4 linked regions of the Astyanax mexicanus genome follow. The protein of the gene in region 4 purifies or fractionates together with the protein of the main gene of each other region. This does not show direct contact. Links are inferred from orthologs where the notes say so. Each region holds a gene or a part of one and is shown on either strand. Other genes may lie near its edges.

Region 1 (7,308 bases), on a different chromosome or scaffold from region 4:
CCTTGTTGTAATGTACATATAGTGTATCTCACTATTTTATATTCATAATCTTATTTTCTGTAACTTTTGAGAAGGAGAGGAAAGTAATTCCAATTCTCTGTATGTCTTTTACATATGCAGTATTTACAATAAAACTACTTGACTTGACTTTAGTACTGGTTCAGCAGTAAAGTTAGTAGTTGTGGTACTGGTTAAGCAGTAGAATTAACAGTTGTACTTGTTTAGCAGTAGATGAACTAGTAAGAACAGTAATGTACTAATTCAGCAGTAGAGTTAGAAGTTGTAGTACTAGTTCAGCAGTAGAGTTAGTAGTTGTAGTACTAGTTCAGCAGTAGAGTTAGTAGTTGTAGTACTAGTTCAGCAGTAGAGTTCGAAGTTGTAGTACTAGTTCAGCAGTAGAGTTAGTAGTTGTAGTACTAGTTCAGCAGTAGAGTTAGAAGTTGTAGTACTGGTTCAGCAGTAGAGTTAGAAGTTGTAGTACTGGTTCAGCAGTAGAGTTAGAAGTTGTAGTACTAGTTCAGCAGTAGAGTTAGAAGTTGTAGTACTGGTTCAGCAGTAGAGTTAGAAGTTGTAGTACTAGTTCAGCAGTAGAGTTAGTAGTTGTAGTACTAGTTCAGCAGTAGAGTTAGTAGTTGTAGTACTAGTTCAGCAGTAGAGTTAGAAGTTGTTGTACTAGTACAGCAGTAGATTTAGTTGTTGTAGTACTAGTTCAGCAGTAGAGTTAGTTGTTGTAGTACAAGTTCAGAAGTAGAGTTAGTACACAGGAAATTTGGCAGTGTTAAATCAACACTGTTAGTGTTAAATCAACTCTAATAAGTGTTATTATATACTAATACTGTGTTATTATATACTAATACTGGTAATAGTAGGTTTAGTACCAGTTCAGCAGTAGAATTAGCAGTTGTACTTGTTTGGTAGTATAAGAACTAGTAATAGCAGCAGTGGTTGTAGTACTGGTGCAGCAGTAGGATTAGCAGTTGTACTTGTTTGGTAGTATAAGAACTAGTAATAGCAGCAGTGGTTGTAGTACTGGTGCAGCAGTAGGATTAGCAGTTGTACTTGTTTGGCAGTAAAATAAGTAGCAGTTGCAGTACTGGTAACCACAGTGGTTGTAATTTGCAGATGGCAGATGCATTTCTAGCAGTTGTAAGACTAGTAGACTGTTTTAATACCATATCATTACTACTGCTGCTGCTGCTGCTTGTCGGTTACACCTACTTCAGTCAGTATCAGTAATTCTGCAGATATTGATTAGCTTATGGTCAGTACCGGTGGTCGTCCCAGCGCGGGTCTGCGGATCTCTTCCAGGGGGGCCGGGGTGGTCTGCGGCGTGGCGAACAGCAGGATGTCCCCGCCCGCGGAGTGGGTGGCAGCCGGGTGAAGTTCCACACCGCCGGGGGTGGAGATGATCACTATCTGGTGCTCGGCGCTCAGGTCGATGCTCCCGCTGTTCAGCAGCGACTCGAAGTCGGCCAGGAGGTCCTCGGACGTGTGGCCTGATATGAAGGTCTTTGACATGTTGGACTGTCTGTCTGAGTGCGCGTTTTAAATGAGGCTGTGTTTCCGAAAACACCCTCTGATTCAGGCCTTCAGTGGAAAAGAGTTCAGGAGACTGCCCTGAACTGTGTGCTGTGAGTGAAATTACACTGAGGGCAGCCAGAATACCGTCCTGCTGGAGGAGCCATGTTTATAAGGGCTTGTTATAATTACATATATTAAGGCTGACATATGTATATATTTCTTATAGAGATATTTAAGTTTAATATGCGGATTTAACGCAAGTTAATGCATTAATATGAGAGGCTTTCATTCATTAAACTAACAAAACAGCTACGCTAACTAGCTAACTTAGATAACTAGGTCAAGGCTCTTACAGCCAAAGTACAAAGTTTGACAAAAAGCAGAGGAGTGAAAGTTGCCTAATATGATTACAAATGTAAGGAAATATCATTACGGCTGTTTTTGACACTTTAAAGTAGGATTACAGCTCTAAAAGTCAGAAAATCTGCATTTGTCAGTGTTGAGTGCTAGCAGCCCTTTGTTTTGGTCCCCTATGACTAGACAGCTGAAAGGCCAGCAGCTGCAACTCTGCTCCCAAAGCTAACTGGCTAGCAAATATAGAAGCTATAAGTGGGGAAATGGGGAAATATATACGAATACAAATTACTATAGTTAGCTATATTAGCTACAGTTATAGTTAAGAAGCTATTAAAGTGATAAAGTGGGAAATGTAAATATGAAGGTTACTATACAAGCTAGGTTATAAGCTAATTTAGAAGCTATTAAAGTGTAATAGTGGACAATAATAAATATAGCATAGGAAACATAGGGAAAGTCAGAAAATATGAATATACAAAGTTACTAGTGCCTATTGTAGCTACTAACCTAGTTAAGTTAATATGAACGTTAGCTGATCTATACGATATTGTTACAGCAACAGTCAAGTTCAGCTTTATATTAAGCTGGATGGCTGATAGAAATGCATCTAAAAACTATAGATTAACTTTTTTTTAAAGCAACTACACATTTAAACATTTTAAAGAGTTTTTTTACTATTATGAGTTAATAGGTGACCAAGGCGAGGCTTTTCAGTGTAAAAGTTTAAAATATCTGCGGCCCTTGGTTTCTCTTTCTGCCAGAAACAAAACAAACCCGTCCAGGAAGCTCCTCCGTCCAAAAACTAGCTAAATAATCCAACTGTCCTGTCGGCCGCGCTCTCCAGGCGAAAACATCCACAATAAACCCCCGATAGTCTCTCGCTTTGTGCCCACAGGTCCGCCGCTGAGCCTCCGTCCGCTCCCCGAACCGATCTGCTCCGCTGTTTCTCCCTTTTTGTTATTGTTGTTTTTGTCTCAGCTGATCGGCTCTAGCTTATTTACGCGCCAAATCTTTTTTGCCGCGAAAACTGGCACGTGCCGAATCGCGGCGACACTATTGGACGAGAACAATTTTCACGTCACGGTTCCTCTGCTCTCTGATTGGCAGCCGCGCCTGTAACTCAGAAACAGGCACTTCTGGAGAGAACAATGGGAATTTAATCGATGAGCAAGTTTAAAAAATATATTTATTTATCAAAGACTTTATTTTATAATTACAATTATTATATGTGGAACATTTTCATTAGAATTTGCCCAATAACTAGCTACGTATCTAGCTGGCTTTGTTAGGTATCATATATTTTAGAAGCAGGCTAATACATTTGTCTCAGCTGACCAGAGAATATTAAGAATATTAAGAGCTCTGAAATACTTATAACCCATAGCAGTCTGTTACATATTTGCCTATATTACTATATTGCATTGTAATACTGTAATAAAATAATAATATTCTAATAATTACAGTATTTCACATTTACTATGTATATGACACACATGTATACGAATGATTAGTATAATTAACTATTATAAAGACTAAAGATATTGAGGGTAGACTAGCTACTACTAATGCTGTCCATTATGGGTTGGAATGAATTTGATGGGTGAAAATATAAAACATTTGGGTTCATACTGTCTGCAATAAAAAGAAAAGTCAAAGTAAATGTAAAAAACTTTTTTTTCTCTTTTATGGGTATTTTTCATACTCTTTCAACCAAAGTCTTTATTTAAAGTCCCAAATTGCAACTACCAAGCATAGCCTAAGAAGTATTTTTAGTGGATACTGATGTTTGTATTTCTTTTGTTTGGCTTTGTCTAATATTGCTACAGTTTTTAATTTAAGCAAATTTAAAAAAGAAGACAATTATGTAGAAATAAAATATATATTAAATGAATACATATTTATAATATTTATAAATGATTATATAAGCAACTATTGTTCAGCACCTCCAGGAACTCCTTCAAGAAAACTATTCCAGGAGACTTAAAATACCAAGAGTGTGCAGATCTTCCTTCAAATCTAAATGTGTTATTTAGAAGAACTAAGTTTATAGTATAAAACACTTATTAAAATAATACCACGTGTTCCTTTTTGATGTCTTCAGTATTACATTTACAATATAAAAATCATAAAAAGAAAGAAAACACATTGCCCGAGAAGAGGTGTGTCCACATGTTTGACTGCTACTGTATATCATATTAAAATATAAATGAATAGAATGTGTAATATTAATCAGCTGACAGGCCCCGCCCACTCCTCCGCCTCAGAGAGACAGAGAGCGCTGCTCCGCCGGCTGCTGAAGACTTCAACATGTCGCAGGCGATATTTGAGGTGCTAGAAGGTAGACACAAGCATTTTTTACTCATTTTTTTTTACAAAGAAATACAGACGTTCAGCTGTCTTTTAAATTGTTTCTATTTCCTGCTCTGAAAACTGAAGTTTTGAGAAGCAGCCGGTTCTCTCGTGTCTTCCGTGTGGCTCAGTTAAACCCTTTAAACCCGTTAAAAGCGTGAAGCGGAGCTGCTCGGTCCTGTTAAAGCGGACGGGTCTGCAGGATGTGTGTGTGTTTGGAGTGTGTTTTGGGTTCGTTCGGGTGTTTTTCACTGTTATTTGTGTGCGCTGAGATTCGTGTAGAAGAGGGAGGGTGGGCCGCTGAAACAACAGCTACGCACTGAGGGAGGAAAGATGGCGGAGGGCGAAAGGCGAGTTGTGGGAAAAGCCTCCCCAGCGCTATATGGTCAAATTCTGCGGTCCACCTTAAATGCTGCCGCTGTTCTGCTCGGGGGCGTGTGCAGGTGGCAGTTCGGTATTAATGTATTTTTTAAGGTGGACCTGGATTTTGAATTAGGGAGCCAACCACAGCTTTGTGAACTGCTACAAACAGACTGACATATCTGTTGTAACAGATTTAGACAGAACTAGTAGTAAAGTGTGATGACTCTGCTTATATGTTCTAGTTTTTTTTGTTTAAATGACAGATAAAATACAAAACTGTTAATTCTATATAGCATGTATTATTAGCTTAGGAGTCTCTGTTGTTATATCAAATGTTTGATAAAAAAAACACTTGTATTAAAGCTATTCAAAAAGAAAACATTTTAAAACAGTCACATAACCTTCTTTACACATTTTTGCACACATACATATTTTTTATGACTTGTATGCCTCATTGTATTATGTAGAGATATGGCCAATTACATTACATTTCTTTAAAAGAAAATGGCAACAAAGACCACGTCCTAGCAGGTTAAAAAATCAAATATAACTTTAAGATAAAGTTGAGTCATTTTCACTTTTGTTTACAAGCCAAGACAACTTAATAGCATAGTAGAAATACATTCTAATAGCAGGCATCTAGATTAAGGATGCTCAGTGATATTGGCATTATATCGGTATTGGCCGATAATAGTTTCAATTAAGTATCATCACATTGGTCGAGGTCTAGATATTACCAACTTTCAGTGTTTGCAAACATATTTATTGCATGCCGGAAAATGACCAAGCAACGGGCCGTAATGTGAGGACCAGTAATCCTGTACCTGGCCTATAGACCTGTTCGCAATTTGGTGTTGGGGGAATTTCTCACTTGAACTGAGTTAGTGGGTCCCTAGACATGAAAAATCCCTGAGGTGCTCGTCCGCCATAGTGCCACGAATTCCGCAATGGTCAAATCAAATATGGCTGCCATCGGCTATGATGAAAATCCAACTTTTTTGTTTCTGAATGTATATACACAAATAATACCTCAATTTAGACTAATTATGGTATGAGAAACTTATTTCTGATATTGTTATGACCATATTGGGTGATTTTGACATTAAAAGGTCATGATCAAGGTCGTTTTTCTATTCTTAAGTGTACTGAATGCGTGCATGCATATTAGTGGGATGGGTTTTTTACAGAATGATTTTTCTATTTTTCCATGGCAGAATATGATGCATGAAACTCCAGCAGAACGACAGCCACATCGACTATTGTCACACTTGCCTGCACACTTACAGACTGAGAGCAGACTTGGTGGTAAAGGCTTCAGACATTTTGATGGCGGGAGTGTGCCAAAGTGCTCCTTCCATTCATGGTCTGTTGGCTCTAGTCTTGCTTTGGTGTCCTTGGCTGTAAGCAAGTTGCATGCCATATGAACCAGAGAAGCCCCTCGTTGGATGTGGCCTCTGATCACACTACTTGTGAGAGCATCAATTCCAGTACTTCCATGTGTGTAGATTTCTACAAATGTCTTAGCTTTTATCAAATATCTTATCTGTTGTTGTTGTTGATCTGTCCCCAGCCCAGACATGCACCAAGTGCTTCTCAGCCAAAGCTGCATCATGCTCTGTCAAGGCCTGCATCTTGCTCTGCCTCTCCAAAGTTGGCTCAGTACTGGGTCAAAAGCTGTAGAAGCATGTTTAGTCTCCACCTTGCTCATACAGTCATCTCCAGTCAGGATATGAGCTTTAATCACTGTCTTTGACAGTTATGCTCCGAAACGAGAGACTGCTTGATGGAGTGGAAGCATTCGCAGCCTCTCACCATTGCCATACTGCCACCAGATCTCCTTCATCCCAAGTTCTGGGAAGTATGTGCTGTAGCGGAGAAGCAATGCAAAGGTGTCTGTGTCATTGGAGACTATGATAACTCTTTTGCACTGCTTCACAAGAATAGCCCACTCAACATGCACCAGCAACCTGGCATCAGCTTCTTCAATCCTGTTCAATAGGTCTGGGATCTCGTCCCCACCAGCTGCCTTTGCTGGCAACACCTCATAATGAAAGACAACAGAGCTCACAAATACAGTAGCATTGCCACTGGTTCGACTGCAAACCATATCACGATCGGGACATGAGACACTTTCTCTAAGCAGTCTCTCGACTTGGAGCATCACTTTCAAAGACAGTGATTAAAGCTCATATCCTGACTGGAGATGACTGTATGAGCAAGGTGGAGACTAAACTTGTTTCTACAGCTTTTGACCCAGTCCAGTACTGAGCCAACTTTGGAGAGGCAGAGCAAGATGCAGGCCTTGACAGAGCAAGATGCAGCTTTGGCTGAGAAGCACTTGGTGCATGTCTGGGCTGGGGACAGATCAACAACAACAGATAAGATATTTGATGAAAGCTAAGACATTTGTAGAAATCTACACACATGGAAGTACTGGAATTGATGCTCTCCCTCTCACAAGTAGTGTGATCAGAGAAAACATCCAACAAGGGGCTTCTCTGGTTCATACGGCATGCAACATGCTTACAGTAGCCAAGGACACCAAAGCAAGACTAGAGCCAACGGACCATGGATGGAAGGAGCACTTTGGCACACTCCTGCCATCAAAATGTCTTAAGCCTTTACCACCAAGTCTGCTCTCAATATGTAAGTGTGCAGGCAAGTGTGACAATAGTCGATGTGGATGTCGTTCTGCTGGAGTTTCATGCATCATATTCT
Region 2 (7,922 bases), on a different chromosome or scaffold from region 4:
ACTCTAATAAAATTTGCTACTCCTTTGATTTATATATTCTAAATGTATTTTGTCTACAAGAAAATGGCATTTAAAAACAACAATAAAAAAACATATATTAAACATTTAACATTTTTGAATAAACATCAAAAAGCATTAAAACCCTAACTTGAGTCTATATGGACACCCCTTTTATTGAATGCCTTTAGCTACTGAAAACTGCAAGTATTGCTGACACAGATGTAAACACAGAGCTTGTCTCCGCCCTGTAGAGCAGTACTGCCAACAGAATAAGCTCTGTGTAGAAAAGAAACAAACCTGCTGCGGTGTGTTGGGGATGAGATTGGTACTAGGAAAGTAGTTACACAGCAAAAGAGTAGGTTACTTTCAGACAAGGCTAACTACAGCTGTTCTACTACCTGTTACAACATGAAAAACAACTGCAGTATTTGCACCTATAGAGGTTGGACAATGAAACTGAAACACCAGGTTTAAGACCACAATAATTTATTATCCCGACGGACAGTTGAGAGTTGGGGTTCACATTAACCTTTGCCGTGATTTGGGCGGCTGTGGTTTTATGTTTTCTAGATACAATCCGGTTTAGCACCCAAACATTCCTTTCAGACAGCTTCCTCTTGCATCCACAGTTAATCCTGTCTGATGTGGTTCGTCCTGACATTACCCTGGATACCATGGCTCTTGATACATCACAAAGACTTGCTGTCTTGGTCACAGATGCGGCAGCAAGCGTGCACCAACAATTTGTCCTCTTTTGAACTCTGGTATGGCACCCATAATGTTGTGTACATTGCAATATTTGGAGCAAAACTGTGCTCTTACCCTGCTAATTAAACCTTCACACTCTGCTTTCACTGGTGCAATGTGCAATCAATGAAGATTGGCCACCAGGCTGCTCCAATTTAGCCATGAAACCTCCCACACTAAAATGACCGGTGTTTCAGTTTCATTGTCCAACCCCTGTACTTGACAGTTATTTGACTAAAGAAACCTGCTGATCAACAAACCAAATAACCAATGTTTGATAGGTAGCTAACTAATTAACCACATGTCAAAATTTAACTAGACTAACTAGATTAGTTAGTGTTAGTTAGTTTTAAACAGAGATGTTTAGATGTTGGCCACTTAGCCCACACAATGTTACAGCTGCAACCAAAACACATAGGTTAGCTAGTTAAATAGCTTGGCTAGATAGATATATACAGTCCCCTTTAGAAGCATTGGAACAGCGAGACCAATCCCGACTGAATTTGAGTCATTTGAGTTCAGCGTTTACTTCCAGGTGTTTACATCTGGATCTGATACACAACGCAGAAAATAGCACTTACTGTCTGAACAAACTCATCTGCCTCGTGAGCAAAAGTATTGTAATAGGTGACTGTCAGGTAAGTCTGTTTCCCAGGTGTGTCCTAATACATTGATTATTTAAACAATAAACAGCTCTGAATGTCTAAGCTCAGTTTAAGATTTGGGTAAAACTGAACGTAAATACCCAACATTTATTTTTTTGGGTCTGTAGAACAATCTATCAATGACTGATTAATTGATTACCTGTCAAAAGGTTGGGCACACCTTCTAAATCAATGTTCTGCTTTATTTCTTTCCTTTTCTAATAATGTAGACTTGTAGAAAAAATAAGAGAGACCCATACATTTATGTAGTAAACAAAAAAAAGTGTTTGCGCTCCAAAATCCCCTGATCTAAACCTGATCCACTGAGATGGTGATTTGAGGTGATTTGGGATGGAGCTTCACAGCGGGAAGAACACCTCAGCACCTCTAGGAATTCCTTTAAGACACTATGAAAACTATTCCAGGTGTACGTTCAGTGTTTTGTCTGATTATTTGTCCTGTAAAGCTGTTTTGTGACAACATCAGTTGCAAAAGGCGCTATACAAATAAATTTATTTTAATTTGAAAATACCAAGAGTGTGCAAATCTGTTATTAAAGTTAAATGTGGCTAAATAATTCTGCATGTGTTCCTGTCTAATATGTTTTATATATTACATTTACAATTGTAGAAAATCATAAAAAAGGAAGAAAACACATTGAATGAAAATAGGTGTGTCCAAACTTTTGACAAGTGATGTAAGTTAGTTATACAGCTGTCTAGAAATGTTATTGATCAAAAAGGGAATTTACGCATACAATAGATTAAAACACACAGTTATCTACATGTATACAATCAAATAACCCACAGGAAAAATAGACAGATATAGCTACAGAGGGTATAAACATTTGGGGAGCTCCAGCAGTGTAGTAGATATTACTTGGTCAATATAGCTACAGAACAGCAGTGATATGACATATGGATAAGCTAAACCTAGTTAGCTAACGATACAAGAGCTAAACAAACCAGTTCAGCAGCTCCAAACAATTGAAATAGCCTCACAACAAGGACCGTATATCCCAGTGTTATCATTTTATTAGTATTCCGTTTCCATATCAGTGAGAAAGTCAACAAGCCACTCACCATTTCCAGAAGAATCCGATGGTTAGAGGGGATGCTAGTTAGCTTCTAGCTGCTTGAGAAACACCTTAACAAACAAGCCAGCTAGCTCAAATCCAATGTTACAGTGAGCCCTACGAGCTAAACATGTATTTAATAAGATTATATATATTTAACAGGTAGAAAATAAACCTTTAAAATGTATCTTAGCTCCTCAGTTGTGCTGCAGAAGCCAGGCTAGTCTGTTAGCTAAAGCTAGCTAACCTAAATAACTGAGCTCTGCATTCCCTGGACGTCTGGCTAACCAGACTGAATAATATAAACTACAGATTTAACCGAATAAAAAAATAAGAGTTAATAAACTGCGCGCGAACAGACAGACACCTCATTCCTCCACGCTTTCAGCGCTGTCTGGATTTAAGAAGCACAAGCTGAGCGTTTTAATCAGCGCCTGTTAGTGAGGAAAGCTAACGGCTAAAGAACCCGGAGACAACCCGTTAACCCACAACAGCGACGGGAAGTTCCGCCACAGAAGCTGTAGCCGGGAGACTGCCCACTTAACACCGCCTTCCGTATATGTCCGACCACCAGAGGGCGCTCCTGTACGAGAGAAAAATGAATGGGTTTATATGGAGGAATAGCTAATTGAGTGGTGATGTAAGGGTGAGGTTGTATTTGTGTTTTGTGCCATGTTGGACGTTTTTTTTTATTATTATTGAATTAAACTTCACGTAAACAATTCAATAAAGAACAAGACATTACATACATAATATATAAGAAACTAATTCGATTAATGACATAATATTACTTATAAACAGATGTAATAGGGTTTTTGGTATACATTACAGAACGAGCAATTAAAATTAAGATCTGTAGTCTGCAGCCGTATTTGACCTTATTTTGGTTCACTTTCTCTTATGATGGTGCGTTTTTATTGTTTTACTTTACTATTCTGCACTACTAGTTTATTTATTGTCCTCGGTTTACGTCGTTGCAAATTTGCTAAATTATGATATAACTGAGTTCTTGCACTGTCTGTATGGCTGACATCAGTCATCTTCTCAATATGCACAGCAACTGGTCATATCTGTGTCATTATATTTTATCATTTTTTTGTAACTTCTGTGTACTATGTATACCTCCTACTGGATGTCCAAAATATCCCTCTGGGATAGATAGATATATCTATCTATCTGTCTGTCTGCCTGCCTACCTACCTACCCAATACGAAGCCGCTAAGTTGACATCTTGTTAAAAAAAAAATTAATGCGTGGCCATGACTTATTAAGGTGCGGGAATGAGACCCTAATGCATGTCCACAACTTATTAAGATGTAGAAACGAGATTCTAATGCATGGGAACATGATAATTAAGTCGTAGCCAGAGAATAATAAAACCCATGATAAAACAGAATAATAAATCAAAGTACGGAGCCCCTAAAGTAACATCATGTTAAAAAAAAGTTAATTAAGATGTTACGATGCTTTATTAAGTCATGGCCAGGCCTTAATTACCTAGTTTCCACACCTTAATTATCTCATTACAAGGCATGAGGATCTTATTCCCATGCCTTAATAAGTTGTGACCATGCCTTAGGATCTCATCGTAATAAGTCAAGGCCACTCGTAATTGTTTTAGCATGATGTCTGTCACATTAGGGGATCTGTAAGAATACATGATAGAGTGCACATTTTAGAATGTCTGCCTGTGCAAGAATATAAAATAAAGGGGTTCCTGTGAAAATCATAGTTCCTAAATGTTTGATCATTTTTACACTGACATTTATTTTTTTCACATTTCAGTACAGATAAAAAACATCAAATGTTAAAAGCTTTAAATCTGGGAAAGAGCCTGTTTACAGAGAGCTTGTCCGCTTCATATCTCCCCGTTTATATCAGAAAATCACATAAGGGTAACGTCCGCTAGAGGGAGCCCGCGAGAGAATTCAGAAAAGCGCTGTTTCTCAAACACACAGCATGAACACCAGAGGACGACAGAGAGCTTATCTGGTGTTTATCTGAGCTCACATACCAGCCACCACTATTATACTTATATTATACACAGCTTCTGGAGCACACACACACACACTAGCTCAAGAAGAGTTTTTTTAACTGATTAGTTGCATTAGTTGTGCTGAGACAAGGAAAAGCACTAAAAAGCGCAGAGCTGAGGGTCCACCAGAAACAGGAGCTGAGAACCAGAATTCAAGTTTAGTGGTTTTGTGTTGTTTGGAATGATGGTGCTCCCGGGATGAGTTGGGGACGGTCATGTTGGGGATGGTCTTGTGGCTGAAGTCCTCCCTGAGGAGTAGAGGCAGTTACTCCAACAAAAGCAGGTTAAACTGCTTTAACGGTTCAATAACCTTGATTTTGGACGAAACAAAGAATGTGCAGGTGTTCCATTATTTGTGTCCATATAGTATATGTTATATTCCTTAACTATTTCTGTAATGTTGTTCCATATTGTTCCACTCCAGGATACCATATCTTCTAACAGTATTGAATGTAATATAATACATGGAAAGAATGTCAGTCTGAATGGAAATACATACAGTAAATACTTTAGATTAGAACAATATATGAATAAAGGATGTTCTTCCATATTAACACCACCCACACTGAACATCCAATTTGTGTGACCTTCATGGAGAATGACAGGAACCTGCAGGTATGTGGAAATTTCCTGTGACAATAACCCCCATTAAACTGTCAGAAAGAAGCACAGATGGAGTAACCCACTGGGACTGTGAAGTCTTCTCAGACTGAAGACATCTGAAATAGTAAGGCAGACCAGCAAAGATCAGGGGCCTGTTTAAAGAACTGTTTCAGAAAGTAGAAGTGTAGTCGCCACTGCATTTATATATATACATACCACTTCAGTTTCTGAATCAGTTTCTCTGATTTTGCTATTTATAGGTATATGTCTAAATAAAAACGAACATTGTTGTTTTATTTTATAAACTACAGACAATGTTTCTCCCAAATTCGAAATAAAAATATTGTCATTTAGAGCATTTATTTGCAGAAAATGAGAAATGGCCAAAATAACAAAAATGATATAGAACTTTCAGACCTCAAATAATGCAAAGAAAACAATGCAAAGTTTTAACTTTATGCCACTCCTGGTGCAAAAATTCAAGCAGTTCAGCTTGGTTAGATGGCTTTTGCTCATCCATCTTCCTCTTGACAATGTTTCATCTGGTCTTTTAATTTTGGTCTTTGACTTAGACTCGACTAGTAAAAGTCGTGCTCTTGACTTAGGCTCGATATGTACTGGGTTCTGGTTTGGACTCCACTTTGGCCAGTTCATTAAATGCACACACCCATTTATTCACATCTTGGGACAATTTAGCAGCTCAAATACAAACTGAGTGTTTTAAGAAGGTGGGAGGAAACCCATGTGTCACAATGTGGATAAGCTTATTCCTTAAAGAAAAGGCCAGACTGACAATCGAACCCACAATCCCAGATCTGTGAAGATATGCAAATTTACTGTTGAATATTATTGATATTTTTTTACAGTTTTCACTTTAATATTTTTCATGTTTTTGTAATGGTGAGAACCATATTTTAGTCTATTATTATTATTATTATTATTATTAACCATACCCATGAGAAGAGGGGGAACTCTCAGTACAGGAACACTGAATAAAATCCAAAAAATATACACTACCCATTACTGGGTGCGGCTAGAACTCTGTTACAATTATATCAGTTTTTTTTCAGTAAAGCCTTTTAGATTTGTTCTTTTAAGGACCTTAATATTATTATTTATTATTATAAATAATAATATTTATTTAATAATAAATATTGTTATTTAAATATTATTTAAATAATAATATTTATTTATTATTATTATTATTTATTTATTTTTACATTTTTTTAGATAGATAAAATATATTTTATATACACTGACATTACACATTATGTGAATATTAGTATTGGGTCCCTTGCTTTTTGCTATATGCCATGAATGCTAGAGTAAGCTGCACTGATCTATGGGATATGTATGTGAGGTGAGGTCTGCTGCACTGATTGTTTGCCGCTTGCTTGTCTGTTTACTTGTCATTGTTCCTCAGATCAGTATAGTAGCAAAGATTTTGACGTTAAATAACTGCATGTTTTTTAACTTTGTACCATGTCTTTCACTGTAACAGACCCAGAGAGCTGTGTTTGAAGCCAGGATGTTTTATTCAGGAACCTCAGTTAACACATATCACAACATAAGGTGCAATGTGATTCTATGCACTATATTGTACTGATTAGGTGAATGTGATAGCAATACATATGTTTTTTAGAAATCCAAGTCATTTACCTACTGAGAGCAGAAGTTTGATGGTGTGTTACAGGCTACTGGAAAATACTTTCATTTTTTTTTTCTTTACAAATCCATACCCAATACCGGCTTAAAAAGACAAGCATAGAGTGCATACAAATGTAATGTGAGGTATAAGCACCAATAATAATGGGAATCAAATCATTGTCTGGTGTGTTAACAGGACATTTCAAATCGAGCATACAATACTTCAGGATACTTCAGAATTTCATGCTGTGCAGTCAGGCTTTATAGGCCAATACTGTACTGTAGTACAAGGAACACTTCTGAAGAGGTGCATTAGTTCAAGCTGGAAAAACAAAAAGCAAGACTGCAGAAAGGGATCTGATTTGACACACCAGTGTTAAATAAACTCAAAACACATGGGTCACATGAGCCAAAATGATCAGGACAGGATCACGAGACCATTGCATTTTACACTTAAAAATATATCAGTGATACATCATCTTTGTGCAAACAAAATGTCTTAAAACAGCTCAAACCGATCATATAAATAAGACAAATAAATACTGGATGCTTTTCTGCATATTTGAAAGGAAATATAGTACAACTGCACTTTTTCACATCCTTAGATGTTTCAATCATTTACAAGTTTCAGTACCATTACAGTTTACTGTCCATTACCCAATGCTCCAGTATCACAGTTATCACCTAACATATCTGTAGGGAGAGGCTGTTGTTTGATGGCGTATATATTTATATTTATAATACAGTATGATACTGCAGCAAGCTGTCCTTTTTCAGGTTGACAGATTGTTTGAAGGCTTTATGGAGGTGTGTTGTTTCTCAGTGTCTTTCTCTTGATTCGTGGATCGAAATCAAAGCCACACCAGGCCAGGCCAGGTCCATGTCCACTGTTTTTCAGTAGTATACAGAATTTTATACACGTGGACTGCAGTCGTGGAAAGCAAACATCTCTCATGTGGGTGTTTCTCTCCATCCTTCAAAGGAAATGTTTTCAATTCATGGATTTCAATGGATTTTCTACAGAAAATATGAAAAACCTCCCACTTCAGCAGTTCTTCAGAAGATGCAGGAATTAAGGTGGTAGTCTTGACCTTTGTTTTTTTGCCTTAACTATGCAGATGAGAGGCTGAGCAGAGTCTTTCCACAAACGACCCCCACAATGCACCAGTGC
Region 3 (7,733 bases), on a different chromosome or scaffold from region 4:
CCACCTACTGCTCCCTAGAAAGGTGTGCAAATACTGTTATGTAGCAACAAACAAACAAACAAACAAACAAACAAACACAGGTTTGTAGTTGTCCAGCACTGTAAAGATCACCACAGTGATCATCTGAACCACAAAAGTTCAATTTAGTCAGAAGGCAACGGGTCCAACAGAAATGCTGGTGACCAGTCAGCAAGTGGGGGAGGGAGTAATGGGGCTGTGCAGGAAGGACAGTGGACTGGCGGCAGCGTGGACGGGGATGGAGACGGGGAAATTGAAGACGGTGCTGCTCTTGCTGAGCGCCGGGCTCCCTGCTTCTGAGGAACACGTGGAGGACGCCAGCACCTGCGACTCAAACTGCAGCAGCTGACCCATGAAGCTGAAGTTGGGGGAGATGATGCTGCGCCGCTGCTTAACGAACTCAAAAGCTTCATCCAGCTTGACCCGGTTAGTGCGCATTAGGTAGGCCAGGCAGATGGTGGCAGACCGCGAGATACCAGCCTGACAGTGGACGAACACCCGGCCGCCTTTGTTCCGAACTGAGTCTGTGAGGAAAAAAGAAGAGGACGTTAGTTTAAATCTACACAGAATGGCTCTAATTCAACACAGAGCATCTAATGTGTTCGGGTTTACATCACAAAAGCTAGATTCAAAAAGCTAAAATAATAAGATCTGTTTTTGTTTCCTAAATTCCTCTTATTTCGGTCATCAGATTTCTGGTGGGGAAAATTAGCTTCAACCTTTAAATTGCTAAAGGAATTCCTTTCCCTTTTAGAGTTGCCTCCCTCCACTTTAACTGCAAATAACAAATCCACCAGAAGCACTACGGAAGGGAGCAGTCTGACCAGGGAAACAGGAAGAAGTTAGATGAGAGCTGGGGGTGGGTGATGGGGCAGCACTCTCTCAGTAGCAGGTCTGAATACACAATAGGGGGCGGCTGCCCCGCCTGCTGGGAGCATTGATCTGGGGAGGAAGGCCGGTGGAGAGCCAGAGAAAAACCCCTTTTGTTTGGACAGAACAAAGAGCCAGTTGCTCCCTAAAAAGCAGATCAGGTCATGGCCTGCTGCTTTCCATGAAAAGGGGGCGCCTCTTTAAATGGGATGAGAGGGGATGATGTAAGCCATTGTAGCTGTCAAGCTTAACCCATCCAGCTGGTTGATTTGGAGGGAACTTTTGAAAATTTTAATTCAGGCCACACTTGTGGAGGGGGAGGGGAAGTCTGCTCACCAAAGCTTTCCTATAGCTGCATCTGTTTTCGTTTTGTAACTGGGAATCAAAGAGTGGATATAAAGCTTTTATATTTTTTCTTATTCTCACCGATAAATTCAATGGCCTCGTTGAACCAGGAGCTGATGTCAGCTTTGTGGTTGTCTTCAACAGGAATGCTCTTGTACTGATAATGTTCCTCGAAATGGTTTGGACAGTTGGCAGATACGTTTATGAGAGCTGTGATGCCCAACATGTCCAGCATGTCTTTTCGTGAGGCGTGGTAGGCGCTGCCAAGATACAGGAAGGGTAGGATTTCCACAGGGCCACCCTGAAATCAAAACAGTGGATTTAGGACTGTGAATAAAGGCAAAAATAAAAACTAAATAAGTGTAATAAATGAGAAAGTTACTAAGGCATGTTTTCTCAGCTCTTACCTGATCATACAGAGGGGTAGCGCAGGTATTACAGCCGGATTCAGTGGTATCAGACTGGCAGCTATCGCTCAGAGGCAGACTGAGACCCTGCGGGGGAACTGGTTTGGTACACATTTCAGGAAACTCTGAGACAAATGTTTCAAATCCACCTAAAAACAGAGAGAAAATTGAAAAATTGGCTTAATTACACAGTTTAGTTTAAGTGTGATCTGTAGTGAACAGCTGAGCGGAGTTTCCCTACAGAAACACAAATAACCACAGGCTGTAAAGCACGGCCAGGTTTACTCAGTTCCGTCTACATAAAATTAACTACATCTAATGTTTATTTAGTTAACCATTTTCCAATATAAGGATGTGTATCTCACTTTATAAATGAGGTAATAGTAAAATTCGCGCTCAGTCTTGTTTAGTTAGCGGGGAAACCTCAGCTCTTACTTCTTTTGTTGGGTTTAATTTCGGGTTTGTGGTTTTGTGAGCATACAGCTTTAACGTTACTCTAACTAAACTAAATAGACTTTTATACTACCTGGTTAGAGTTAATTTAAAACTAATAGTACATAAAAATATTTATTCGAAGTTTAAAAACTTAGTTTAGGTAATAAACATGGTTTTAGGCTGTTTTACCGCTCTCACATTAGCTAACAAGCTAGCATTAGCTAACCAGCTAAAGTAAGCTAACGATCTGCGTAGCTTATTACCGGTTAGCTTCAGTGTAGCTAGGCTAGGCTAAGCTAACCCTGTTTAGCCGCAGGTTTAGAGTTTGTACCTTTCAGAAACACGATTTCCGCCCCGCACGGGTTCCGGCACAGCGCGGTCACTGCCAGCATCAGCGTCCCGTCCTTCTTCGCCTGGCCGAGATCCGAGCTCCGCTCGTCCAGCAGCACCACCGTGCGGATCCGACCGGACAGAAGCCCGCTCCGCGTGTCCTCGTTCGGCACAATGTGCTCCAGCCCGAGCCCGCCGCGCGCCCGCCGCCGCACGATGGTGCTGAAGCGGACGTTGGTGGATCCGGGGATGTGAGACGAGCTAAAGGAGAAGAACGAGCGGCAGTCCAGCACCAGGCAGCCGGGCTCGTCCCCGTCCAGCAGCGCCCGGAGCGCGGAACAGTCGATACTGGGAACCTCCATAATGACCATAGTAGGGCAGAGCGCGAAGTCCAGGTACATAAAGTAGCGCCGCACAGTCCACTCACAGAACAGCGGCCCGCGGAGGGTTACACTCACAGCACAGAGGCTTATTCACAAAACACGGCTCCGTTTGAGGTGATAAAAAAAAATCTCTCGGAAATTCACGCGTTGTTTCCTCAAACTGAAGCCCGGTGATCCTCTTTTCCGTGTGTCGTTCTGCCCGTGGTTGCTCCCGGAGCTCTTTTATACCCCTCGCGCTCTGAGAGCAGCAGCGCGGTGACGCCACGGCCCCGCCCAGTCTGGCGGACTGCCAGCGTGAACTCGCACGTACGTCACGAGCAGCAGAGCGAAGGGCGACCAACCAAACCCTTACAACAGCCGCTCACACCTCACTCTCAAACACCTCACTCCTCAACATATCACTCCTCACACCTCACTCCTCAACATATCACTCCTCAACATATCACTCCTCACACCTCCCTCCTCAACATATCACTCCTCACACTTCACTCCTCAACATATCACTCCTCACACCTCACTCCTCAACATATCACTCCTTTACACCTCACTTATCATATCTCACTCCTCACTCCTGTACACCTCACTCCTCAACATATCACTCCCCAACATATCACCCCTCAACACCTCACTCCTTTACACCTCACTCCTTTACATCTCACTCATCATACCTCACTCCTCACACCTGACACCTGTACACCTCACTCCTGTACACCTCACACCTCACTCCTTTACATCTCACTCAACACCTCACTCCTGTACACCTCACTCCTGTACATCTCACTCTTTAACACCTTACTCCTTTACATCTCACCCTTCACACCTAACACCTCACTCCTCAACACCTCACTCCTGTAAATCTCACTCCTCACTTGTTAACACCTCACTCGTTAACACCTCACTCCTTAACACCTCACTTCTCTACACCTCACTCCTCAACACTATTACACCTGTCCCAAAACTAGCCCAGCAATCAAAACTACTACAAAACTATAACTGGTACTACTAGCCCTGCTACTACTACCAGTACTAGTGCTAGTTTCACCACTATTTCTACTACAACTATGTAATACCCATGTTATTTATACCATTACTACTATCACTGCTATTAGCTAATACTATCTGGATGATCACTATTACTACTACCACCAATACTACTGTTCTACTATCACCAATACTACTCCTGCATTCCAAACTAGTACTAGTACTACAAACAGTACTACCAATAGCATTTGTACCACCTCCACTACTATAACTATATAACTTATTAAGAATACTTATCTTCATTGTTGTTTATAAACAGTATTTGTACATTTTGTCTTCATTTTTTCTCAGTAACCTATAAAATGATCAGAATAACTTTGTTTAACCTTTATAACTTTGTTTTACCTAAAAAATCATAAAACCTATGAATTATTTTTAATGAAGTATTTTCTCTTCTGGCAGCAGGTCAGTGTCAGTCGAGGAATTTAGTAAATTTTTCCATGATGTGATCGTTTGTGGATTTGGTCTTTGCTCTCCTTCTTTGATGAGTTCTAACGAATAACAAGATAATTAGTGAATACCTGTCGCTGCGCTCATAAAAGTTTATACTTTGTTTTTATTGTACAGGACTATGCAGTGTGCAATGCGGCGAGAGCAAAGGCCAACCATAAAAGTTAATCACTGTATAGAAACTGGAGGTCTGGTAAATTTCCATCAGCTGAAAAACACGACGCCGGTTCTGCGCGGGAACACAGCCTGTTTATTTGTTTACAGTGAGAAACCTGTTCTGGGCTTCAGGAGAAACAGAAAAGCTGAGTTAAATGAGTCGTACAGCAGATCTACTGCAGTTTAAACAGGAAATGCAGTCTGACAGGTTTAATCACTATATTAGTGTTTCCCCAAACACTGCACTCACGCCTCAGCTCTGTGTTGTTGTGTATCCTGTCAGCGCACATAACAACAGCGGGTATTTTGTCATGGATGTGGTTGAAGATGTGGGTTAAAAGTTGCTTTGGGTTATAACTTTCTGAGTTACATAACACACCGTACCAATTAAAAGTTTGGACACACCTGACTGTATATAGTTTTTTTTTATTAAAATGTGAATATAAAGAGTTTATGTATTTTCATAATTGAAGTAGTTTTAGCAGCCAGTAAGATCTCAGTGGAACTTTTTGAGAGAATGTAAAGAGCATGTAAAGCTGCATCAAGACACAAGAATTATATTTTTAAAAGTTTAAAATAGGCCTGTAGTTTAATTGTGATTAAACATTACATATTCTAATAGAGATATGCGTACTGAAAACAGAACTCTGATTGTTTACTGGTCTCCTGAAAAAACTGTGTTTGAAACGTTTATTTGCAGAAACAGAAAAAAGTATGTTTAAAGAAAAGCTGTTGCTTTTAATCTGTTGCCAAATGACTCTTTGTTTGTTGCTAAAAATAATAAAACAACATAAAGAAAAGAGTCAGTCGGAAAAGACAAGCAGGATTTGAAGCTGAGATGAGAGAAACACTGAGAGATTTGTGCCGAAAACCAACCAAAAACACAAAAACAACAGCAGTGACATTTTCCACCACTTCTGCAGGGCCGGCCTGACCCCAATCAATCATCCATTAAAGAGCCAATCAATAACAGAGATATAGATCAAGCACCACAAGATACAACCCTATCATCAGCAGCACCAATCAGGAGACCAGAAAATATACAGAGACTTGCCACAAAGATTCAAAGTTTGTAAGAAGAATGGATTTGCTCATGATCCAAAACATACTGGCTTATCAGTAAAGCATGGTGGAGGTAGTCTCATGGCCTGAGCTCGTTTCTTCTGTTTTTATTTATTTACCATTATGGATAAAAGAGTGAAACCTGATACTCGCAATAACATCAACAGAACTCGGTTTCTAATCCACCACACAGCATTGTTTGTTATGTTGCTATGCTACACCAAACAAATCACTGAGAACATTATATACATATATTTTTGTAAATACATAAAATCTGGCACATGTTGAATTATGTTTGCAGAAATATTACTGTTTATATTAGAATGATTTTTACAGGAAAAACAACAACAACTACATTTTGGACCTCAGACACTATCACTGTGGTCTACTGGGGAGTGCAGTCCACACAGATTTAAAAACACTGTATGTTTGCTTGTTTAGATGTACTAAGGGGAAAACACACAGTATCAAATATTATGAGCCATAACATCTTAACCTGTTATTTGTTTATTTTTTTATTACAAGAACAAGTGCTACTTATTACACTGGTCCAGATACTTCAGCACTGCACATATTCCAGCTGTTATATCTAGAAATATCTCAGGAATTCCTGGAGTTTATATTAATCCAGCGTAATCCAGCTCTTACACTTAGTTAAACTCTGTGTACATCTAAACATATCTCGATGTTTCCAGCCCATACGCTGCCCTGAAATGTTTACCACATTTCCTGCTTCACAGACTCAGAGCTGTACACTGAACTGAAAGTAGGACAGCGTCGGTACAGTTACTGACGTCAGGGCTGCGTTTTTGGCGCCTGAGTCAGGAAGCTGGACCGCTGGAGTTCTGCTCGAGGCCTGTGTGACCATAACAGAGGAAGAAACACCAGTAACAAGAGACGGGAACTTGGCAACGGCTGGAGATGCAGCAACATCTGCCCACTGATCTGGACTTCACTGTCCGAACCCCACCGCCATGATTCAGTCCTGGAATCTAAACTGCGAAATGGAGCGTTACTCATTTTTGTTGAGTGTGTGTGTTTAGGGTGATCAGAAAACACACTGTACTGTACCCGAGCTGACTTTAAATAGAGGAGGGGGTGGATTAAGAAACATGAGATTCTTTAGTATTTAGTGAAATGCTAAATTAGGACAGTATCGATGAATCGACACGCATTCACAAAATATTGTACATTCAATTATTTTAATAGTTTTGCGTTTAATAGAAACATGTTTGAATTTTACATGTGTTTATATGAAAACTAAGCTCTAAAAAAAGCAACACATTGTGATTTTAATGATTTAATAAAGTTACAAAAACAATGAGTTTAAACATCTCAACCTATTTAGCCTACAGCAGTTTAGCCACGCCCACTCACACTGAAGTTATAAAGAGTGGTACATCTTTGAGTGCTTAAGGAATGAGTGAAAATACAGGAAAGCTCTTTAGAGTGGAGTTAATTTACATATAATTTGTCTTAAAGGCACAGTAACAGAAATACATTCATTAACAAAACTCACTGTAAGAGTAGGATTTTAGGTAAAAGGGATTAATGAAAACATCAACGCAAGAAATGTTCCATTTTCACCTTTATTTATCGCTAAGAAGATCAGAGAGTAAGAGGGGATGAATTTAAGGATTTAACTATCAGCGCTGATTAAAGAAACGTACAGAACGGTGACAAAACAGCAAACGTAAGAGCGAAACAGTGACATATAAAATACCGCTACATGTGACGCTTCACTTCCAATAATCAGACGAGTCTGAGCTTCAGTGAGTCACTCTAAACCGATAATCTCAGAGTTCCCACCGTATTTCTGTTTACTCTTTACTCTCGGTGTGAAAGGGAACTGAAAGAAGGGTATATATGCAGGAGGTTTCCTATATATACTATTCCAGCAAGGCTATACCCCTGTCATTACCATTCATTTACTGACAGAAGTGTGTCTGGGTAAGTGCTGTGCGTCCTGGGAAACTACAGGGTATATCCTCCAGTCTGTTCTGCTGCTGACTTATGTTCAGTTTCTATTTCTGCATTTCAGCAATTTCCAGGTTTCACAACAGAGCATGACATCACTTTACATTAAGCAATGTGAAGTGTGCGGTTGTTACCTCTTATATATAGAGTATATATACACACACACTACTATAATTTAATGTATGATTTGTATCTCTGTATGTCTCCACTGGTGTTGGTTTTAGTATCACTGTGAGAAAAGATGTTGATCTTGATGTTG
Region 4 (7,282 bases):
GCGTGAAAGGATCCCCAGCAGGAGCTCATCTGGGAGACTGTCCCAGGATAGACCGGCTGCAGGAGGGAGAAAGTATGTTTGTGAACAGACTGAGTTTTTAAGGAAATGTATAGTATCTATAGTTTAATAAATGTAAAAAAAGAATATAACTTTTTGTTAGCATACAGTTAGTTGAAAGCTAAAGTAAAAGAAAAATAAATGTTACACTTGGTTCTAAAGTTGTGTATACATTTAACTGTAAATCAGTGTTAAAATACCAGCAGGGAGATCTCCCTCAAATGATTATTGACTAAGCACACATGTAATAACATTGGATATAAAGGTATATAACACAATATCAATACCTGTTGATTCCCTGCTCTTTCGAGGACGTCTGGCCAACACAAAAGCGTTCTCCTTGCCCTTGCCGCAGAGCCGAGGCTGTTTGCGAGGGGGTGAAAGGTGCTGGATGAATTCATGCGGGGTGTTTTCTTCACCGTAGCGCAGCCTTTGCTTCTTTTTCGTCTGAGACATGCACAGCAGGGATCCCTCCAAATTCTCATTCAGACATGGAAGCTCTTGAAGCGGCCTGCAAATCAGGGTGGTTTGTTAAGAGTCAATAGCTAAACAGTAATTAATTAATAAGCATGAGAAAATATTTTTAAATCTATATTTTGTTTATATCATGCCCTCCAAACTCTGCTTCCTGTGTGTATGGCTCTTTCAAAATTGCTTCAAAAATGATAGAAAGTGCAAAAGTGGGACTTACAGGCCTTGTAAATAAATGCCCAGAAGACAGTGGAAAATGTAAAATCTTCTCGTATTTAGTTAGTAAATATTAGGGCTGGGCGATATTGCCAAAAGGTATTTCTGAATTTTGGCCAATGCAATATAATTCCACTATCAATATAAACAATATAAAAGCTACCGCCTGTGTCCTACTGTATGTCATCATTAACTGTGCCAATAGTGTTGTAATTAAGAAAGCTAGAACCAAGTCCGAATTAAGACCAGAACCAAGAGCGTCTGAGACTGAAAGCAGACCAAGTTATTGATTTATTAAAAAATAAAATGTTTAATTTTCCAATTTAACAAAATTGTATTTTTATATAATAATACTTTTTTAAATATCTTGTATCTTCCTTTATATTCATTTTCTTGCATATATATATATATATATATAGATATTTTATATATTGTTTGTATGTATATGTCCTTATACTTCCTCTGTTCTGTTCTTTGAGCTGCTGTAAAATTGCAAAAAAAAAAAACTTTCAGACCTGAAATATCTCCAGTGATGGAAAAAAAAATCTATTTAGCACAGATTTTATATAAATCTTTTTTTTCGTTTCATAACCAATTCCTAAACAGTAAAAAAAACAATTAAAACGCTTTCCAACTCACATTAGATTAGTAAGTTGTCTTTTAGTAACTTGTTCATTTGCCATTCAAGGTTCACAGTCTATTCTGATAGCTATCAAATAGTGTTATGTGCAATAAAACGTTTAAAAATAAAGAAAATACATGATGTATATTGTAATGGCTGCAGAATCTGAAAGGGTCAAAAAGCATTACCTAATTTTTTATTGAAATGAACAGTTGTATCATTATTTTTAGGCACTGAATTTTATTTATATGTTTTAAGCATAATCAATAGGATATTAAGATTTTATAATATGATAATATCGCCATATTGCCCTGACCTTTAATTATGTAATCTGTTATCAGTTTTGGTGCCCAGGCTAAGTGTGAACTTAGTGAGTGAGTAGCCCTGAAACCCTCCCCCTACTGTGGGTTTCTGTCCACAGGTTTCTATCTAGTTAACGATTAGTCCACACTGAAATTTGTTAGGTAAAGTCATTAATAATCAACAATATCGATTATGTTAATCAACTCTTGCAGCCCAAATCATTTATTTAAGCTAACATTAACGACACTGAGCAGCCAACTGTGCTCAGTGTAGTTGTTTGTCAAGCAATAACGCACATTAAACATATAAATAACCTAAATTAAAACAGCTATCAAGCTATAAAACATACATGTAACAAAAAACAAGTGTCAAATATACTATAAAACATATATGCCTTAATTTATTGAGCTTTAAAGTGAAAATTAGGCGGAGTTTGAAACTTTTTTCAGAGTTGTTTTGGTGCCCGCCAGAACTACAGTTTGGCTCCCTCTGATCGCGCCATCTCAACAATAGAACACCAAAAAAGAGCTCAAAATGATAGAAAATCACAGAAATAAGTATCATAACGATTAACATTTTTATATACAGACATGATACGATAGTTAAACGAATAATATTTTTCTTATTTTTAAGTTTAAAGCCTTTAAAAGCCAAGGCGCGCCAGAAGTGCTGGAAAGGAGGGAGCTAAAGCTAGGTTAGCTTAGCCATAATAGCTAGCAGTCAGCTCAGTTCCCTCTATTTAACTTTTAAGCTAAATAACTTATATAACTTAGCTTTAGAGATATATAAAGCTTTGTAATAGTTAGGATAGGACAATAATATGTTATCTAGAGCAAATATTGTTTTAAACACACAGGATTTAACCTAACTAGCTAAACAGAGCATTACTGAAGCTCATGTGTAAGTTATAAGTTTAGCTAGCTTAGCTTAGTTAACTGTTAGTACTTGTATTAGATACGTTTTCTAGATAACTTGTACAGTTAACTAACTTACTGATCACATTGCTGGATACATATTTAATTGGCTACGAAAGACACTACACTAAAGAGTTAGATAACTAGTTAGTATGAATTATTAAGGGGTTATCTACATTATAACCAAACACTAAAACTACTCTATCTACTAACCCAGTATTAATATAAGTTATTCCACAACCAGGCACTTCTGCAGTCCATAAACAGTGCTATACTCACCTATCCACTGCCATCTCACTCTCTAGTCCGTGTTTAAATTGTTTTATATGTGTTTCCGCAGTAAATCTCTCAGATCTGCTGCTCAGTACTGATCTCTGCATTGCTGTGCTCTCTGTCTGCAGCCGCCACCGTTTAAACGCGCAGCTCCACCGCCACCCAGACTGAGCTCAGAGCGGAGCAGCGCACAGACTGTCGCCGCCCTGCTGGACCGGAGAAATATTACACTGACTCACTCAGACCAGGGCTGACTGAACAGACAGACAAGTAGACAGACAGACAGGTAGATTCAATGTGTTTTGTTTATTTTTATCTTTTTTTTACATTGTAAATTTAATATTGAAGACAATATTAACGCTATACAGGAAACATCTAAGAAGCACGTTTATCTTTGAGGACGGATCTGCAAACTCTTGGTATTTTAATCTGTGTCTTCATAAGAATAGTTTTGAAATTTTATGTCTACATTTTATGTTTATGTCTAAAATATTATGGCTAAGTAAATCAGCGTCTTGAAGGAATGGGTGTTCAAACCACGAATAAACTACAAATTATAAATAATAATAATTTTAAGTCTTTCATATTAATCTACAATGTAGAAAATAATAAAAATAAAGAACAAATATTAATAAGAATGGGTGTCCAAATATTTTACTAGTGCTGTAGATAGATTTAATTCATTCTATTAATCCAAATAATTAAATTTAATTCACTGAATTTTCATATTTGCTGATCTCCAAGTCATCGTAGCCCACATCCAGCCGTGTATGTTGCATACAAAGCGACACTATCAGTGCGCATGCGTGAAGATGCCGAATGCCGTCCCGCTTGCTTCCCTAGAGTTGTTCTGGTCGCTGGGTGAAAATAATCTCTAATAGAAAAGAGAATTCCCACTCAGACGCTCTGCTCTGGAAGTAGTAGTTAGCTAGTACATGACACAATATTGTACTTCTACTTTCAGTACTTAAGTAGTACATTTTAGAATAAATACTTGCTGTACGTAAATACAAAACATTTTTATTATTTTAGTACATGTACTTCTAATTGTGGAGCGACTTTTTTATGATAGAGCACTTTTATTTTTTAGCACACACTGGAAAAATAAAGAATTGCAAAAAAAAAAGAAAAATATTTTTTGAATTTTATCTTTGACTATATATATTTTTTGTTAGTTTTACACTAGGTTTTTAAAGCTCTTACAATCGCCTACAAGGTGATGACAGAACAGGCTCCTTCCTACCTGCACTGATCACTCCTAAAGGCTTACGCTACCTCCCGGCTGCTGCGCTCCTCCAATGAACGTCGCCTAGCTTTACCAAACAAACATTCACACAAAGCAATCCAGACTGTTCTCATACAGAGTTCCCCAATGGTGGAACAAACTACCTTCCACTACCAGATCAGGCGAATCTCTCACTATCTTTAATAAACTCCTGAAGACAGAGCTCTTCGAAGAGCACTTACTCTCTTAACACCTCTAACAAACTACCTTCTACTACCAGATCAGGAGAATCTCTCACTATCTTTAATAAACTCCTGAAGACAGCTCTCTTCAAAGAGCACTTACCCTCTTAACACCTCTAACAAACTAACAACTTCTAACCTCATTTCCTTCTTCCCCTCCTTCACTCCTCTATCCCATTATTCCCCTTTGACCTCCTTTAGGCCTTATATTAAGTTGTTTTACCTTCTACTATTTCTGTTCTTCACTACAAAAGCGTCTGCCAAATGTAATGTAATGTAATGTAACTAGGTTTATTTATATTTGTATTAATTATATTACCACTATATGTATAATTATATTATACTGTATGTCATATTATATATTTTTTTCCTTTTGTTCACTTGCATATTTCCTTGTTTTCACCTTTTCAATATTGTATTGGTTGTGCTTTATGTTTTAAAAGCAAACTACATAAAATATACTAAAAAGCTCTATTCACCCTATTCATTTTAGTCTCTTTCTCGGGCTCTCCCTGGCGGTGTACAGTGGTTTTCTGCTTTAGCGGCGGAGGCGGTGAGTGGGCGGTCTCGGGGTAAAGCAGCTGTGGCCGGGGGATGTGTGTGTGATTTTGGGGCAGGCAGAGTAATGGCTGTAGCTCGAACAGCTTTATTTAGTGGGCAGTTTTCAGTATTGGCGGTGTGGAAGTGGAGAACAGCGGCTCTGTGAGCGGTCTGTGTATCTTTCAGCGCGTTAGACAGGTAGGAAAAGCCTGTATATCGGGGTTTAGCTTCTAACGGACGGTAACTGTTAGCTGTGCTGGGTTTGTTGTTAGCTAACCTAGCAGAGCTGTAGTTAAAGCTAGCAGCAACGGCGGATGCGCGTAAACACACAGTCTGACAAGTCGCTTATTATTGGTAATATGATCAGTATATTAATAAATATTAGAGTCAATAAAAGGTTATATATACAAACCATTAGTTTAGAAGTTAAACTGAATTGTTGGTGTTTAATGTTGATGTTTGTGCTTCTATGTTGAAGCTAATATTTTGATTTTACGGCCCCAACCCCCTCCTCCCTCAGCTCAAGTTTGAAATATTCTAAAAGAAAGGGAGGGGTAGTGTGGGAGGGGCACTAGGTGATGTATGGGTTTAGGGGCGGGGCCGAAGTTAGAGCAGATTGAGCTGAGCAGTGTGCCTCTGATAAAAGTGAAGCCCTTCTATCAGAGTTGGACAGCCGGAGCTGCGATTGGTCTGCCGGGCCTCGCGTCCCCTCCCACTAGTGCTGGACAATTATGGCCTAATAAAAATCTTCCATTTTTTTTAACAAAAAATCCAATTTTCGTCTAGAAACCGGTTTTCTCCATCCTTCTAAAAATCAAACTACAAATAAACAAAGAAATGGTTCAAAACTAGGTTTACCTGTAAAAAAATAAGGTGAGCTATGATGCTGCAGTTTTTAGAAACAGATTTATTTCTAGCTAAATATGTGCTTTTTTCCACCGGGTGTTTGTGTTGAAAGTGCTGGAACTTTAAAAAATTATGCATTTGTTAGTCTGTGGGAGTCACAAAGTAAGACAGATAAGCACTAAACAAATAAGTAACAGTTTTGGATATTTCAGATTAAAAAGATAAAATATCTGTATGTAAATTCGTGATTACTCCGTTTTGAAAAACGCATTAAAACTGTAATTCGAATAATCAAAATTAAGCATGAATCTCACCCAGGACTACCATCCACACATTCCCTCCTTTGCAGTTTAAACTGCAGAGCGACACAGAGCCACTAATATGCGCACGCAGAAGTGTAAAACAGAAATAACAGAAATATGATCCCATAATCCAACCAAATGTGTTACTAAATGCAAAAATGAAAGAATCAGAAAATCAAGTATAGATACAAAATAATAATATGAAACTCTGTGTCTGACCCACGATTCAGAATAATTTGATTTCTTCTTGTAATCTTGCTCTAGTGAATAAAAACAAAAAGGTCTTTCAGATTGGTAAAGGGGACACTAGCTTTTGTCTGAGGCCGGTGTTTTGTATTCTAATTGTAATTAGTTTGTGGAAGGCCTTTGCTGTGCTTAGCTCTTGCTCCATGTAATAGTGTTTTAGAGTCTTTAGTGTCTTGCTATTCTTATTCTGTCTAACATGTTTTTTCCTCTCTGCCTGTTCTGCACAGTTTTCATTAGTCTGGAGGACTGCAGCAGGGGAGAATGAGTGGAGCTGCGCTGGGAATAGAGATAGTCGTGGTCTTTTTCCTGGCTTTGTTCCTGCTGCATCGTTATGGAGACTTCAAAAAGCAGCAGCGCATGGTGCTCTTTGGCACACTGCTGGCCTGGTATTTGTGCTTTCTCATTGTCTTCATTCTCCCGCTGGACGTCAGCACGGTTCGTTTAGTCTGATATTTGGAAATTACATAATTATTCTATGATTTTTAAATGCATTGCAGCTTAATTCATATTTGTGTTTAATATGTATTCCAGACAATATACAAACAGTGCGTGATTGATCATGAGGAACATGCTCAGTCACCATCTGTGGGCCCAGGAATCTCCAACCAGACAACAGGAAATGCGACTGTCACGCCCACTGCTAGGTTGGTCTACTTTCTGTGTTATTTCTATTGTGCTGTAAAGAGGCTCATGAATAATAGACTAGGAATAGCTACTGTCTTTATTACAGGTACATTAGTGTGTCCTTTGTTTGTTTCTATATATACAGCTCTGAGAGAAAATAAGAGACAACTTTTTATTCTATAAACTACGGACATCACGTCTCCCAAATTAGAAATAAAAAAAATGTCATTTAGAGCATTTATTTGCAGAAAATGAGAAATGGCTGAAATAACAAAAAAGATGCAGAGCTTTCAGACCTCAAATAATGCAAAGAAAACAAGTTCATATTCATAAAGTTGTAAGAGTTTAGAAATCAATATTTGGTGAAATAACCCTGGTTTAAAATCACAGTTTTCATGCTT

The links.
Region 1: the proteins of skp2 (region 4) and e2f1 purify together in Homo sapiens (affinity purification with western blotting; 6 studies listed by BioGRID). This does not show direct contact. The link is inferred for Astyanax mexicanus from reciprocal best matches to the Homo sapiens genes SKP2 and E2F1.
Region 2: the proteins of skp2 (region 4) and fbxw2 purify together in Homo sapiens (affinity purification with western blotting; 4 studies listed by BioGRID). This does not show direct contact. The link is inferred for Astyanax mexicanus from reciprocal best matches to the Homo sapiens genes SKP2 and FBXW2.
Region 3: the proteins of skp2 (region 4) and dusp1 purify together in Homo sapiens (affinity purification with western blotting; 3 studies listed by BioGRID and IntAct, with this or other methods). This does not show direct contact. The link is inferred for Astyanax mexicanus from reciprocal best matches to the Homo sapiens genes SKP2 and DUSP1.

The regions. Positions count from the first base shown.
Region 1 is NC_064420.1:14,793,055-14,800,362, forward strand, and holds the start of e2f1 (transcription factor E2F1), read right to left. Parts: upstream 3,023-7,308; 5' UTR 1,519-3,022; coding exon 1,270-1,518; intron 1-1,269. Other genes in the region: znf341 (zinc finger protein 341), read left to right, coding at 4,186-4,216. UniProt on the Homo sapiens protein: Transcription activator that binds DNA cooperatively with DP proteins through the E2 recognition site, 5'-TTTC[CG]CGC-3' found in the promoter region of a number of genes whose products are involved in cell cycle regulation or in DNA replication.
Region 2 is NC_064408.1:17,947,490-17,955,411, reverse strand, and holds the start of fbxw2 (F-box/WD repeat-containing protein 2), read right to left. Parts: upstream 3,004-7,922; 5' UTR 2,474-3,003; intron 1-2,473. UniProt on the Homo sapiens protein: Substrate-recognition component of the SCF (SKP1-CUL1-F-box protein)-type E3 ubiquitin ligase complex.
Region 3 is NC_064417.1:131,379-139,111, reverse strand, and holds the start of dusp1 (dual specificity protein phosphatase 1), read right to left. Parts: upstream 3,005-7,733; 5' UTR 2,807-3,004; coding exon 2,407-2,806; intron 1,790-2,406; coding exon 1,641-1,789; intron 1,535-1,640; coding exon 1,315-1,534; intron 543-1,314; coding exon 187-542; 3' UTR 1-186. UniProt on the Homo sapiens protein: Dual specificity phosphatase that dephosphorylates MAP kinase MAPK1/ERK2 on both 'Thr-183' and 'Tyr-185', regulating its activity during the meiotic cell cycle.
Region 4 is NC_064424.1:6,373,171-6,380,452, forward strand, and holds the start of skp2 (S-phase kinase-associated protein 2), read right to left. Parts: upstream 3,019-7,282; 5' UTR 2,964-3,018; coding exon 2,863-2,963; intron 569-2,862; coding exon 345-568; intron 57-344; coding exon 1-56. Other genes in the region: G-protein coupled receptor-associated protein LMBRD2B, read left to right, coding at 6,519-6,692, 6,789-6,901. UniProt on the Homo sapiens protein: Substrate recognition component of a SCF (SKP1-CUL1-F-box protein) E3 ubiquitin-protein ligase complex which mediates the ubiquitination and subsequent proteasomal degradation of target proteins involved in cell cycle progression, signal transduction and transcription.